2 linked regions of the Schizosaccharomyces pombe genome follow. The protein of the gene in region 2 interacts with the protein of the main gene of each other region in a biochemical or structural test. Each region holds a gene or a part of one and is shown on either strand. Other genes may lie near its edges.

The links.
Region 1: the proteins of rga7 (region 2) and rng10 form a complex in vitro, tested with the Schizosaccharomyces pombe proteins (one study listed by BioGRID).

The regions. Positions count from the first base shown.
Region 1 is NC_003424.3:3,117,351-3,125,301, forward strand, and holds rng10 (protein Rng10), read right to left. Parts: upstream 5,259-7,951; 5' UTR 5,146-5,258; coding exon 2,029-5,145; 3' UTR 1,869-2,028; downstream 1-1,868. Other genes in the region: structure-specific endonuclease subunit Slx4, read right to left, coding at 307-1,512, 1,597-1,650.
Region 2 is NC_003423.3:2,109,002-2,116,173, forward strand, and holds rga7 (Rho-type GTPase-activating protein Rga7), read right to left. Parts: upstream 4,075-7,172; 5' UTR 3,894-4,074; coding exon 1,806-3,893; 3' UTR 1,484-1,805; downstream 1-1,483. Other genes in the region: cms1 (U3-containing 90S preribosome complex subunit), read right to left, coding at 408-583, 643-957, 1,014-1,356; mat1-Mi (M-specific transcription factor Mi), read right to left, coding at 5,218-5,346; mat1-Mc (M-specific transcription factor Mc), read left to right, coding at 5,481-6,026.

The DNA of each region.
Region 1 (7,951 bases), on a different chromosome or scaffold from region 2:
AGTTCATAGACAAGCTATCTCAAACAGTTCAAACTGTTTCCAAAGACCAAGCAAGATATAATGATTAGTTTTTGATTCCAATAATATATGTTACTCGTTATAACACATAAAAGATATCTTGATTTTTCCTCAGCACTGCTGCAAAGGACGATTCTTATCTAAAACAGGACTTGAATTGACTTAAATCTAAAGCTGGGTTGTTTGCTGTTAATTTTGATGCTCAAAAATCCAAAATCTTTTTGTAAAAATGATATTGTTTTGCTTTAAAAACCATCAATTTTCACTCAAAAATCACTGATTAGCTAGCTAATGCCAACTCCCTTTCATGAGTACTCCATACTTATCGCACCAAGACTTTATAAGATCTAGCGAAACATTTAAATTTTTCCGCTTCAGCCAAAGTTGAAATTCTTCCACATCAATAGCAGAATACGTAAGAATTTTAATCCACACACTATTGTCTTTGGCTTGCTTAACAACTTGCGAAATTGCTCTATGAGTCTGTGTCACTATATCATCAAACTCCAATACTGTTTTAGTAGAAGTTATCAAATAATCATGGGGAGTTTCTTTGCCTAATTTTTTAGACTGAGATCGGCTATCGATTGCATCCAAACAAGATTCTACTATCTTAATGAGAGTTGCTTTCGAATCTGATGATTTGAAGCCATAACTTTCCGCTATAGCACGTAATTTTTCAACCGGAAAATTCTCCAACTTTTCTTTTAATGATTTAGCTTCATTATCAGCGTTTTTGTTAGTGTCCATGTAACCGGCATAGTTTAACAGGGTTCTGCTACGGTCATTAAATTCACATGAAGTAAACTCTTTAATATTGTCCGTTTTTTTTTTCTTATGTGTAGCACTATCGCCTTCAAGAAACGAGTTTGACTGACAAGTTGAGTCTATTGAATGACCGGCGCTTGGATGCCTTTGCTGAATTTCATCAACGGTGGAAACAGAAAAACAAACGTTTTCAGTAGAATTAGCCGATTCACAAAGTTCTTTTATAAGAGGACTCCTGTTGGCTTCAATTGATTTATTTCCTAACTTCTCTAAAGATTTTTCGAACAATTGAGGCTTCCTATGGTAATAAAAACCACTAGAAGATATTTCTTCCCTATTTGAGTGATATGCAGAGTGCTCGAAAGTATTTCTGCATGAAGCACTATTTTTAATTTTGCTGTATCTAGATAAAAGGACATCATTATCTTCAGCTACCCGAGTGTTAAGATCGGGTTCTAAGATATCTGATTCATTGTCGCTAAAGGAAGAAAAAAGAAGAGGGAGATTTTCAGTATCAAAATCTTCTTCATCCACAGCGTTTAAGTTGTGCTCATGAACCTTATGTCCCGTACAATTGTGATGCACAAGCTGTTGAGTAGACTCAAAATCACATTTAGAAGTTATCAGCCTAATTTCACAACATTCAGTAACAGATCTTTTTCGTTTACTATTACAATCTTTAGGGTTTTTGTTTAGCTCTGGCTCTATTGTTATCATGTCATCATCCTAAAGCTCAGTTAATATACATTTACTTCAGTTCAATGTAATATTTCTAATCATTTGCTATAGAATATCATATTTTTTTCATACGTCCGTGAATATATCAGGAGAAGATGATACCTCAATGTATTCTTCAGCCGACATCCATTTAATGAAACTTAGCTTGAAAGCAGCGTACTCAGAATCCTAAAACACCAAGAAAACGAAAGAATATCCCAAAAAATGATGAATATTTAATTTCGATTGTTTTGTTTTGTGTACTAGCCTGAATTTGTCGAAAGTTTTTCGTCCAGTTTCTTATTTTGGTTTAGACAAGTGGCAGCAAAACCAGAATATGCTTGATATTTTAACTCATCGTCTGATAAAAATAACTAAATGGTTTCACAAAAATGCGCAATACGAAAATGAAACAATATTTAGATAAAATCTTATTGATTGAAATGCAATGCTTCGTAAACAATACATAAATTAGAAAATTACAAAAGAGAGAAAAAAGTTAGGTAAAAAGTGTATGCAAAAGATTTATGATTTGAATCCCAATTTTTTTCCGAAAAGAGTTTTCATCTTTTTGGATTCTTTGATAGAGCTAGATGACGACTTGGCGTTTGATTGTTCACTTTTTGCTTTCTTCTTAAACAAATGTAAAATATCATTAGCAGCAGATTTAGACTTCTTTTTTGCTTCAGTAGCAATGTTGTGAGTTATAGTAACAGTTGACCTTGCAGGACTCAACGAAGGCTGCGTAATTCTTTTGGCAAGTTTGGTTGTAGTTGAAACTGGCTCAGAACGAGGAGGAGGAGGAGCTTCCTTTGGAGCCTCACCATCTTTTTCTAAGCAAAACTGAATCCAATTATCAAGGCCCGAATCGTATGCTGAATATTCTTGAATCTTTTGATTGAAAAAGTTGTAACGTTGATCGGTAGAACCTAATTCACCCAATCCATCGAACGACATCAATGGACTCTTGACAAACGCATCTAAGGTAGCAAAGTAATTTAAATTAGTTTCACTATTATCAGCCTTTTTGGAAATTCCAGAAGAAACAGCATCCGCTGAAGCACCGGAGTTAATGCTAGGAGAAGTGGTCGACTGCTGAGTTGAATTATTTTCAGCACTTTTAGAATGAGAAGATAAACCTGTCGTGCTTGTCTTTAGAGATAGTGTGTCTCGTTGATCCTCTTCCTGAACGACTATTTGCTTGTTGGGTTTTGGAGGTTCTGGCAAGGATCCACGGCTTAAGGCAGCAACTTCTAACTCATCTCTATTTAATGGTTCAGAGTGAGACTTATGTGTACTGGAATTACTGGATATTGAAACTGCATCGTGAGCAGCTACCACTTCGACCTTTGTAGTTGTCGTTTCTTCAATTGCGGGAGCCTTTGAGTTACTTGACTCAGTGTGAGAAGTAGTCGCTTCAACAATAGTTGGAAGACTAGTTTTATATGGATATACGTCTTGTTCTACAGAGGCTATTGTATGTTCATCGTCAGATGACCCCTTAGTCCAAAAAGGGTCTTCGGTATTCAACTTGGTAAGAGCTGGATCGGGCTCCTCCGAAAGATAACCATAGATACTTTCCAAGCTTTCTGAGTTTTTCAATAGTGCTCCTTCCTCTAGGGAGTTGTTAGAAACCAAAGAAGAGCGTGGAGATCCAACAACAGAAGCAGCTTGAGGTTCAATCCCTTGCTCGACAGAATTGGGTGATGTATCTCCTTTCACATCAACTTTTTCAAGGTTCGATTTTGAAATATGTTTCTCAGCATTGTCCTGAAGTAGATTGGAATTACTTTGAGTTTTTCCAACAAGGGTATATTTTGACGAATCGACAGGCAAATCGACAGCGCTGTCAGAAAAGCTATCAGGTATTGAATCGATAGAGCTGATAGCATCAAAATTTCGCAAAATACGACTATGAGTACCCGGTTGTTGGGAGAAAGAAGGATCGTTCGTAACTGTCTCAACCTCCGAATTGGTAGCATTATTTTGTTTAAGTGAACGAATTGTGGCTACCTCATCATCCACATCTGAATCTTGTAATCGTAGTTTAAGATTTTCTTCATCCAACTCACCTGAGGGCTGCTTACTAGGAGAATAAAGAAATGGTGAATTTACAGAAGTTATAGATGGATGATGCTCCGGTTTTGAGAGGTTTTCATCCTTCTCCTTTTCAGCATCGATTCCAAAATCGTTAGATAGTGAGTCCGAAAGTTCTTCCTCTGGGTTTTGCTGCGGAGACTCAACAAATGGAATAGACAAGCTATCAGTTGACTTAGTAGTTTGTAATTGCTTGACATGAGTGTCAATATCTGTTCGAGAAAGCTTTTCATCAGGACTAGGTATTTGTTCAAACTTCTCATTTGAATGATTCGAGTGTGAGCTTGTTATAGAATACGCATAACCCTTATTAATAATTTCGTCAGTTGGTTTCAAAATTGTATTAGTAGTCATGTTCGTATCTCCCTCCTCGACTTCTTGAACAACCTCAGATTGCTCAATTGCTTGTTCCGTAACAGGCTTTGAACTAGTTTCCAAAGTAGCTTTTTCACTCGTATTATCCAATTCATTGGCATCATCGTTAGCGGTAGAAACAATATCTTCTTTCACATTATTAGCAATTTCTACCGCCTCGGCAGAGTCCGGCAAAGTTTGCTCCATTAATTCGCTATCTAGTACTGCATGATCGTCATTAGGAGATTTCTTATCGTTCAACGAGGAAGATAGGTTACTAAGCGTGTCCCCAAAGAAGCTGGTATGCCTATGATTAGGTTCATATACGACGCTACGAGTTTTTGAACTTCTGGAAGAGGTAGCCCTGGAAAAATTGGAGCCACTACCAGTCTCTGCAACTGAAGCAAATGAGAATCGGTTCTTATTTGGAGCACGAGCAAATACGTTTGATTCATTGAGCTCTCTGACACTTGAAAAACTATCTCTACCCTTGATAGGAGGTAAAGACTCGGGTATTTCTTCAGCCTTTTTATACCTAGAGAAACTTAAAGGACGGATAGCAAGATCCTCTGCTGGACTTGAAACAGATCTCCTCTTTACATTTAACTCTCTTCGATTTTCCATTTGTCGAATATCCGAGACCCTATTATCATCTTGACTTTGAGGTTGAATGGCTGAAACTTGTGATGATTGAGATGAACGGGTGCTAGAAGATGCCATGGAAGATTTGTAATCAATCGGCTTAGAATTTGGATCTTTTCCTAATTTCTGTAAAAGAAATCTCCTCTTTTCGGCCCATAACCGTGCACTTTCATCAGCGGAGACAACCTTAGTAGCAAGCGTCTCATGGCTACTAGATGCTGCTTTTCGGTAAACAAAAGTGCCAGGGTATGAAAAGTCATAATTCTCGTTCTCACTTTGCTCGCTAAAGCTACTTGCCTCGTTTTCAATATCATCCTCTTCCTCCTCTTCTTCTATAATGCGATCGGTTCCGTCAGAATTTAATTCCCTTTCGGGATTCTTTCCGATATTCTCACTACTGGTGAGATTACTTTCCTTATCCTCACTCTCAGATTCTTCACTACTCCATTCATTACCTTCATAACTTGGAACATTGGAAATCCATCTTCCTGATACGTGTCGTTGCAAGCCTGTGGCATTACTTTGCTTTTGAGCCGTATTTTCTTCCATTGACCTATTAAGTTTTCAAATATATAGTCATGGACTAAAATTCGCTTTTTGTTTACTTATAAAACCGTTATTGATGTACTATTGTTCATGCGTAAAGTTGGAGGTGAAGGGATAGTAGTAGATTGCTGACTACCACATAGTCACTGCATAACATTGACTTCGCCAGCCCCATACGTTAACAAGCACAAGCTTGTAGGTTATTTATTGTTTTAAGCACAAAAATTGTAAGCAAACACCTTTTCAGAATGTAGCAGATATTCATTGTTTTTGATGTGGCTTACGCGTAATCCTAGAAGCGTTTGTTGAAGAAATCAAAGTACTTTTAATATCTAATCAGCTAATAGGAATGATGAACAAATACATCAATCTTCAAATTTAACATATTAGTATTTACAAAAGTGGAAATTTATGATTGCTAACTTCAACAGGCCAATTAATACAATTTACCTAATCATTGTGTTTCAAAACCAACTTGTTTAATTTTTCATTACTCTTAGATTCTTAATAACTTTAATTGGAAAACGTTTCTTGAAGAAGGATCTAATTTGCTAATCCAACTTGGCTTAAGGACTTCCACAACATTCTGTTACCAGCTCTAATCATTTTTTTTTTTAATATCTGACTAATATTTATATGTTGCTCCAAAAAAGGTGTTTTCTGATCCTTTATGAGCAATCGAGATTCAGCAAACCCTCCAGGCTTTAATGACGCGGTGCCCTTAGCTATTTGCTATATTGATTCTTCGACCAGTTCACACGATGAGTACTTAACATTACTTCAAAGCAAAGTTTCTGCTCCAGATAAAAATTTTCGTGATGAGACAGTCGACGGAGCTCCTTTTTTGGCAGGAGATGCTATTTCCAAAGGCCACAGGTATTCACCACCTGTGCGAAGTGATAGAGCATCTGCTCAGGGTTTGTTACAACAACATCTTGAAAAATCAAGCACTCTAGAAAATTTAAAACGATATTCTTCTACTTTGCTCGGTCGGCAAAATGATGCAGTAATTGATGAGCCATTCGCTCCGTTTCGTCCTCCACCAAGAGTTACACTTTCTGAGTCTAGACGTGACCGCTGGTTGCAGGGTTTATCTGATCCCATGGTGCCCTTGTCTTCTCTTATTAAAACTATACCACATGGTCTATGGGGAGAAGATATATTACGAATGTTGGTGAAGTTTCGAGTCCCTTTTACTCGAGCGATATGGTTCATTCGATGCGCTGGAGTAAATGAGGCTCGTTCATTTTTACGAAAAGTCCAGACAACTGATATAACAGAATGGGTTAAAAATTGGACTGATGTTGCAGCGGGATTCTTAATTTCGTTCATTTCGTCTTTTCTAAACGCTGATATTTACTCGTTCGCTGATGATTACACTTACCTATTGAAGCTTTTTGGTCGATTGCTGGCTGAAGAGTTGGTTTCGCCTAAACATTTTCTATTAAGAATTGTTTCCTTTTCAGGGGATTCTTCTTTAAAATCCTTTAGTCTTCACTTTTTTGCTTTACAGTTTTTTTCTACAAGCCTGATCCAGTACACCCATATTTGTCGTAAATGTGTTATCACAATTCTGCAAAGTTATCAACAGTTAATTGTGGACCAGCCTGCTAATCTTTTGAAGTTTAGCTTGCTTTCAAAAAAAGTATCTCATTTTTTATTTACCTTGGCTCAAAAAAATATTGAGTCGTTCTTTTTTCCTACTGAATGGGACAAATTGAAACCTACTATTATATTATTATGGAAGGATTTTCCAAATTATAGCACGCTTTTATCTATAATGCAGGAAAGAAACTCAAAAGCCATGTACATGTACAAACCTGTCACAAGTAGTATTCGCTTCTTGCAAATTATTTCATGTCTTTCCTTTCCAGTGGGTTGGAGAACACTGGCTAAAGATTTGTTTAAACTTTTACCAGTTTATACAGGTGTGCCTCTTTTACTACATTGGTGTATCAATTGCCGTTCTATTTTTTCAGGTGATCGAAATTTCATCGTATCCTCAATTTTTGACAACGCCAATTTTGACAGAAATTTAATTGTGGATCTGACATTGTCGTTTGTTTTAAAATTGCATCCTCTGGAGTACAATGAATGTGTTGCGGCAGCTCAATTACTTGATCATCTCGCAGCATGTGGATACTTCTTCTTTTCAAAGTATATTGCTAGACTTGCTTCATTAGGTTACCTGAGGGAATCGATGCTTAATTCTTCTTTCATGGACGATCAGCGCAAGATTCTTGTTCAGTTGCCTATTCTTCGCATGTCTCAACAATTGAAGAACAAAATATATTATATCCTTTCCAAAGGAAATTACTTTGTGGATTGGTCAATTTGCGATGAATACGTTAAACGATTTAAAGAAGACCATTTCTCTTTCATGTTTAAAAAAGAAGAGAATTATGCTATCATTACCCTGAGTCTTGTTAAAATAGCATCGACACCTATGTCAAAGTTATATGAGGATTACCTGGTTATGCTTTTTGCATTTCACTATTCAATGTTTCAAGTAATGACTAAGCTTATTGCCGACAACTTGGTTCACTTCAGTTTTCAGTCTTGTGCGTTAATTTTTCTTTATAAAATTTCATCTTATTTCGTACTAGATGCCAAACTCTTTTCTTCATATGTTCTGTTGTGCCAAAGACAGAATCTCAAAAACTCCTACTGAATGAAATGGGAAAATTGTTCCAAGTTGAATTGAATTTTAGTTATGACTCACCCGATGTAAATTTGCTGATTGAGCAGTTTTATGAAATAACATCGTATGAATCAAACTATGACGATGCATTCGTAGAGTACAAGGATG
Region 2 (7,172 bases):
ACCGATAATAGATGAGTTTGGTCACTTTGTGGCCCGTTATACTGCTTAGTACACTGTTACTTTTAGATTTGTTTACGAATCCGAAATACGTTAATAACTTTAGTGTGCGTTATCGACGAAAGGTTTATCATTATATGTATAAAGGTACAATGTTTGTAATTGAAGCTACTTGAATTGCTTTAATTGTGGTTGTATGATTAGCTTTTCATATTAAATGCTTTTTTTGATACTTACTTGATGTTAAGTAAGTGGTTGATGGATAAAATAATTTTACAACGTGTTTACCACTTATTTTAATGATTTAGTAAAGTCAATGATACTAAAATGTGTAATATATTTACGAAGACAAAACTTGTGTATTAAAACAATCACAGAACCCCCGAAAGCCAGAACTCTTTTTGTTAATGTTAGTAGAAACATATTTTGGTTTTCCTTTCAGCCATATTTTCGAGAATAGTTTTGCTAGTTAGGAAATCGATTACTGCTTTTCGTGATTCTTTACTCGTAAGAATGCTGTTATTTTTTATGTCACGAAATGAGTAATCTAGTATAATGTATTTTAAATTTTCGCAAGTAAAACATTCTAAAAATGTTAGTATTTTAAGGAAAATCATAAACCAAAAGATTTAAGGCAATACGTACCGTTAGTCAATTGGGCAATTCTAGGAGTAGTTCCTATACCAACACCTATTTTGTTTGCTTTACAATAATTTATGTGTTCCTCTAATCGAATATGTTTTCCGAAAAGCTTTGCAACTTTGAAATTTTTGTTTTGTAATGATTTCGTTGGTTTCAAAACGTCGATGGCACGTAATGCAGATATGCATAGGACAAGAATCTCAGGATTACTGTTTTGAACAACTTTTTTAGTAAAACCGGGAAGATGTTGAATGTATTCTGGATAATTGTCTACTGTTTTAGGTTTGCTGAAGCTGATCGTATCTTCAATGTAAGATGCTTATAGTGAGTTAGTAAAGTGAAGTAAAAAAAAAAAGAATAATAAGCAATTATACCTTTAATCACTTTATCTGACAATTCTACATCGGTAAGATCACTATAAATGCTTTTTATGTAATTATTTAACAAATCGGACAGCGTGTCTGGACTCTGGATGATTGAAGCGTTTGTGTCTTGTAGTTCTAACAATTTAGCTCTTTTCCTTTCCTTTTGTTTTTGGCGTTGTTTTTTTCTTTTTTCACGTTTCGCTGAATCGTTGTTTTGAGAAGCAGTAAAATTTTCAGTTATTGTAGTAGGTTGTGCAGATTCTTCATCCGAAACTGAAATTTCTGAAACTAAATCTACCTGATAATCAAGTTGATCATCCAAAGCATCAGCGTCTGTTGTCGTGTAGCTCATAATTGCATGTTTTAAAATTTTGGTGTTAGGGATACGTTCAGTTCGTGGACCGTCGAATAGTACAGGAAAAATGTAAAAAAAAATATAAATCTATCGTTTACAAAAATATAGAGTATTTGAAGGTCTATATAGAAGAAAAAAAAATAAAAGGAATTCATTTGGTTTATAAAATCGTAGATAATTTCCATTATTACGTTATGAAGGTTGTCTAAACTATGGATTAAAATTGTGAACGGAATTGACAGTAAAGAAAAGAATGAATTTGTAGACAAACAAAAGTTTAGGATAAAAACAAGGTAAGGAAAGGGATAAAAAGGGGAAAGAGGTGGAAGCATACAAAATCCAAGAAAGAGAGAATAGTGTCAAGTGTGCTTTATTGACGCAAAGGAAAAAAATATAAAAAGAGAAAAAAAAGATGGTAAGCAGTAAATAATACAGAAAATGATCTTTTAATCGTAGTCAAAAATTGTGAAACAATAGTCGATAAGAATTTCGATAGTTCTAGAGAAACTGCTAATTTCTGGGATAGTAGCTTGCTTAATGATAGTAGGTCCCCAAATAATGGCCAAATTGTTTGTCGACATTTTGTTTACATCGCTGTTTTCTTTAATTTTAGCAAGATGTATGGTTAAATGACGAATGGTAGAGTAGTTGGCATCGGGAAGATCGTTGATCGCACGATGGACGGCATCTCTTCTTCTGGATTCGTCTTCAACGTTACCTGCGTCGATAAAGTCTCTTTGATGATTGTCGGGAATTAACGGTTCACGTAGTTCACGGAAAAAGATTTTTAGTAGATCAGCGACTGCATGAACGTCGTTTTCATAGTCCTCAGGTGTATGTAATTGTAAGAGAGGATTATTCTCAAATTGAGAACGTAACATGTTGACACGGGCGGAAGAGCTGGGAACACGGTAGATGCCCTGGAGGTTGAGACCAAAATTTTCGACTTGGGAAGTGCATTGCATTACGATGTTTGGAATGTTGGAATGTTCTCGTAGAATGATTGCGTCTAATCGAGCACCAAAGAGTAACGATTTCGTAGGAGAGGAAGGTTGAGGGGAGACAGAAGTTGGTCGGAAGGGAGATGCAGCACGGTTTGAGTTGATGCTAGAAGGCGGTGGTGCGACTTCTCGAGACGTTTGAATCGTTGTCGTCTGGATGGGAGGTAAAGTAGGAAGTAGTACGGGAGGTGATTGTTGGGCAACAGGGGGCTTGTTTTCTGCATTAGAAGCGAGTGGAGAAGAGGTACGAGGATTGGAAGAAGAGGATGAAGAAGAACCGTTTGTGTCATTGGCGGTACTAGGTTTTAGGGTAGAAGCCAAAGGAGAGGCTGAAGCGGGAGCAGTAGAGGGATTGGAAGTAGATGAGTTTGGGAAGGCAGGGGAAGCCACAGAAGGGTTGGGAAAAGTGGATGGAGCAGGATTAGTGTTTTGTAGGGGAGAGGGAATAGCAGCAGTAACCTTGATGGTGGGGTTGACGGGTGGATTGGTTTTTCCGGCAGAGGAACCAGTTCCGTAAGAGCTTGGAGGTTGAATGATTTTTGTTTTAGAAGCGTCGGTTGGATTTTTGTTATCTTCATGCTTGATGGAGGCGTGAAGGACGTATTGAACAAAATCGGTATTTGCATTTATATTATCCAAAGCATGTTGTAAACCACAGTTGGTAGGAGTGGGCTTTTGTGGACGGATTGTGAGACCGTTGAGCAGGGTGTTTGACTCGCAGAGCTTTGTGTACCGTAGATAGTTTGCAATGAGTGAGCTTTCAATTTCGCGTTGAAGGGAAAAGAATTGCTTTATGTAGTTTGGTCGGTGAATACACAAAAGTTGTTTTTGAACGTTTTGAGCGTTTTCAATCTTACTGTGCATATCTGATTCTGCATTTTCGGCCTTAAGGCGAGCTTCATCTTCGAGTTTGGTGAGCTGAGCATTAGATTTTGGTTTAAAAAAACCAACCTTCTTCTGGGAGTCTCCAGTGTTTTTGTTGTCGAGAGCGCGGTTGTACTCGGTTTCGGCACCCTTAAAGCGAGATTTGGATTTATCCATTTGCATAACGGCTTCTAAATATGCGTTTTCTTGTTTTTTCGCATATTCCTTGATGGATTTTCGTTTGCGTTCTGCGTTTTTGTGAAATTCGATGACTTGATCGGAAAATGCAGAAAGAGTTTTTTGAAGGGTTAAACTGTGATTGGCAAGTTGTTCATGAATTTCCATACTCGTAATGACAGAGGCGGAAAAAGATTGGGGAGAGTGGTGTTTGGATTGAAACGTCTCTAGGTAGGATTTAGCAAGTTTTTGTAAATTTTTTCCACTTTCTTCTTCGAGAATGGAACGCTTTTTAAAGAATCCGGCGAGTTCTTTGCAAGTGAGGAGGTAGTCTTTAATGCGATCATTTAGGATTGCTAGACCAAGTTCCGAATTGAGGATCGCTTCGACTTTTGGTTCTTTGAGAACTGCGAAATCATCAGAGGAAGTGGTATTTGGAGGCGATGTTGGTGGGGAAGCGGGAGTGGTAGAGGAGGAGGGAGCCGACAGCATTGAAGGAGTTGAGTGATGGGCGGGAGCAAGAGAAGTAAATAGAGTGAGAGAATAGAAAGAGTAAAAATAACAAAAGAAGCGCGGTAAACGCGAAAATATATAAAATCACTTGAGCAAGCAAAGAATGATAGAGGAAAGAAGGGTGAATTCTTTGTTTGTAAGGAATTGGTAGTGGGTGGTTGGTTTGAGTAGTATAGCGAGTATAGAGGATGTAAACGAGGAAAGGGTAAGGAGAGGACGGTAGAGGAAGAGATAAAGAGGATTAAGGAGGTATGAGTAGTTCAAATTACGGAGATGTAACGAAGCTAAAAGTTTGGAATTGGGAGGTTGAGTGTGGGGGATGAAAATGAGTTTAAGATAGGAAGGTAAAGGAAAAGAATAAAATACAAATTGCGTTGTATAACGTTTCTGCCATACCCTTTTTAAGTGGGATGAAGTATAGTGAGGGAGGGTTGAAAAGGAAGGAAGAGTTGACTGTGGTATTCGAGGTAAGTGTCATACCCTTTCCAAGTGGGAGGTAGAGATACGTGGGGGTAAAGACTGAGGTGAGTAGGAAGGCGGTAAGGGGAAGAAGGGTATAAGGAGAAAGAGTTGATTGTGTTATTTAAGGAAAAGTGTCATACCCTTTCTAAGTGGGGGATAGCAAAATAAGGAGACAGAAAGTTGGTTGCGTTATTCGAGTAAAATGCCATACCCTTTCCAAATGGGGGAGAGGATTAGGTGAATGAAAAGAACAAATAAGTAGGATTATTCTATTGCAAGTTGTTTGTAATACTTTTTTTGTCATGAACGAATATGTAAAAACAATAATAAATCCTTAGAGCCTACTGTTAATATAATAACATTATGTTTATTCTATGACTACAGGTTTGTCAACATGTTTTATTGCGACTGTTTAATTTTTGTATTTGTTATACCGATATATTTTTAATCAGTATTATATTTTCTTAAATAACTTAATAACGAACTTGACAATGAAACGTTCCTAATTCTCATTAGACGGGAATTCTTTAGGGGACCCCACATTAAGTGGGATGAGTGCTTGCTTTGTTGTAGTAGCTATGGTAACTATTTCTTTGTTTGGGTAGGAACAAAGAAAGAGAAAGGAGAGAAAATAGTGGGTTAGCCGTGAAAGGAAAAGAGAGTGAGAAGAAGGGTAGGAAAAGAAGAGAGAGTAGTTGAAGGAAAAATATTGGAAGAGGTAGTATTTTTCTGTATGCATATGCATATGCATTTGTATAGCATACAACCTTTAATTTAATAGCCATACAACCTAATAGCCAGAAACGCCTTCCCAATTTACTGAACCCTGCTTATATGTAGTTTATAATTGTTGTGTCTTTTTTTTACGTTTAAGTTGTAATTTGATGTTAGAATTTATTACAATGGATGCAAGTTTTAACTCAATTTGATCACATAGGATTTGAATTGTAAAAAGGTCTTCTGCTGACATTATTAGTATGTATTGTGCTTTAGATTAAATTATTGTGTTTTAGTGTATTTTGTTCCTTTGTTTTTGGGTTTCTTTGTTCTGTAAGTAGTTAAATACCCTCCACACTCTACACCTACCTTGCACTCACAACTACAATGGACTCACACCAAGAATTATCAGCGGGTTCCCCTATTTCCTACGACTTTTTAGATCCAGACTGGTGTTTTAAAAGATACCTTACAAAGGATGCTCTTCATTCAATTGAAACTGGCAAAGGTGCTGCTTACTTTGTTCCTGATGGCTTTACTCCTATACTCATTCCTAACTCACAAAGCTACCTGTTGGATGGGAATTCTGCACAACTGCCAAGACCTCAACCAATATCCTTCACATTGGATCAATGTAAAGTTCCCGGCTATATTTTGAAGAGTTTACGGAAAGACACTACGTCTACTGAACGTACTCCGAGACCCCCTAATGCTTTTATATTATACAGGAAGGAAAAACATGCTACATTATTAAAGTCTAACCCTTCCATCAATAATTCACAAGTTTCCAAGCTGGTTGGAGAGATGTGGAGAAACGAATCAAAGGAAGTACGTATGCGATATTTTAAGATGTCTGAGTTTTATAAAGCACAACATCAGAAAATGTACCCTGGTTATAAGTACCAGCCTAGAAAGAATAAAGTTAAAAGATAATAATGGTAATATTTATGGTATTTAATAAAGAATTTTGAAATTGATTTAAATATGCTTCTTAGAGTTACATTCACTGAAGATTATAATGTAATATTTTGTGTACCCCATTTGCGTTGAGTTATTCTATAGTAATTATTGTGTGTTCTATTAACGATGTATTGCGATTTATATCTGTTATGCTAACATAACGTAGTTCTAAGCACTGTAATGCCATACTGTTTTAGAGGGTGATGCTTCCTAAAATCTCCTTACATAAAGTAATACATGGATTTTACTGCCCTGATTCTATCGAAATATGCTGTTTTTTTTATTCGTTTTTATTTATTTTCAATAATTTTTTTGTAATATAAATGTATAGTCTTTCTCCTTTGTTTTCTCTCGTTCGTTTCCATGTTTCCAATTATGCTGTTCGTGTCATTCATTCTCCCTCCAATTTTCCCTTTTTGTGTGCGCCCTTCTACCTTCCCCTTCCCTCTAACGAGATATTTGCTTCGCTACGCTACGCACTCCCTACCATAATATACTCACTAATATTATACTTTCACTACATCTCATTACTCATTCCTACCATACACACTATACTTCAACACTTTCCTCGCTCAACCACTCCATCAACCATCCTCTTTCTCCCCATACATCTTGAACTCCTTACACCAATACTTCATATCCATTAGCCATTTTCCTTTATAAACATATATTAAACCTCATCCCAAATGCATCTACCCACTCTTTACATTCACATCCCTATTCCTTTAATATCTTACGTTCCACTTCCTCAACCATAGAGCATTCTTTATAAATCACTTTAATATGCTTTACTTCCACACACTACTGCTACCATTGCCTTGCACAGTACTCCCCTTACTCACACACCTTCAATCACACTCCTATCTCCATACAGGACCCAACATGTATTAAACATTATCCCCCTACACCATTTTCCCTCATCATCCAATATGTTTCTACTATTATCACACACCGTCTCTACCTCCCGCCAATTTTAACTGTCTTCATTTCCACCTACAACTCTCTATCCACACTTTCTCACCCTATAAACATTTAATACACTCCTACAATATACCATCCCATCCTATTATCATATATACTCCTCCTTCTCAGATCACATCCTCTCCAACTCCATTCACA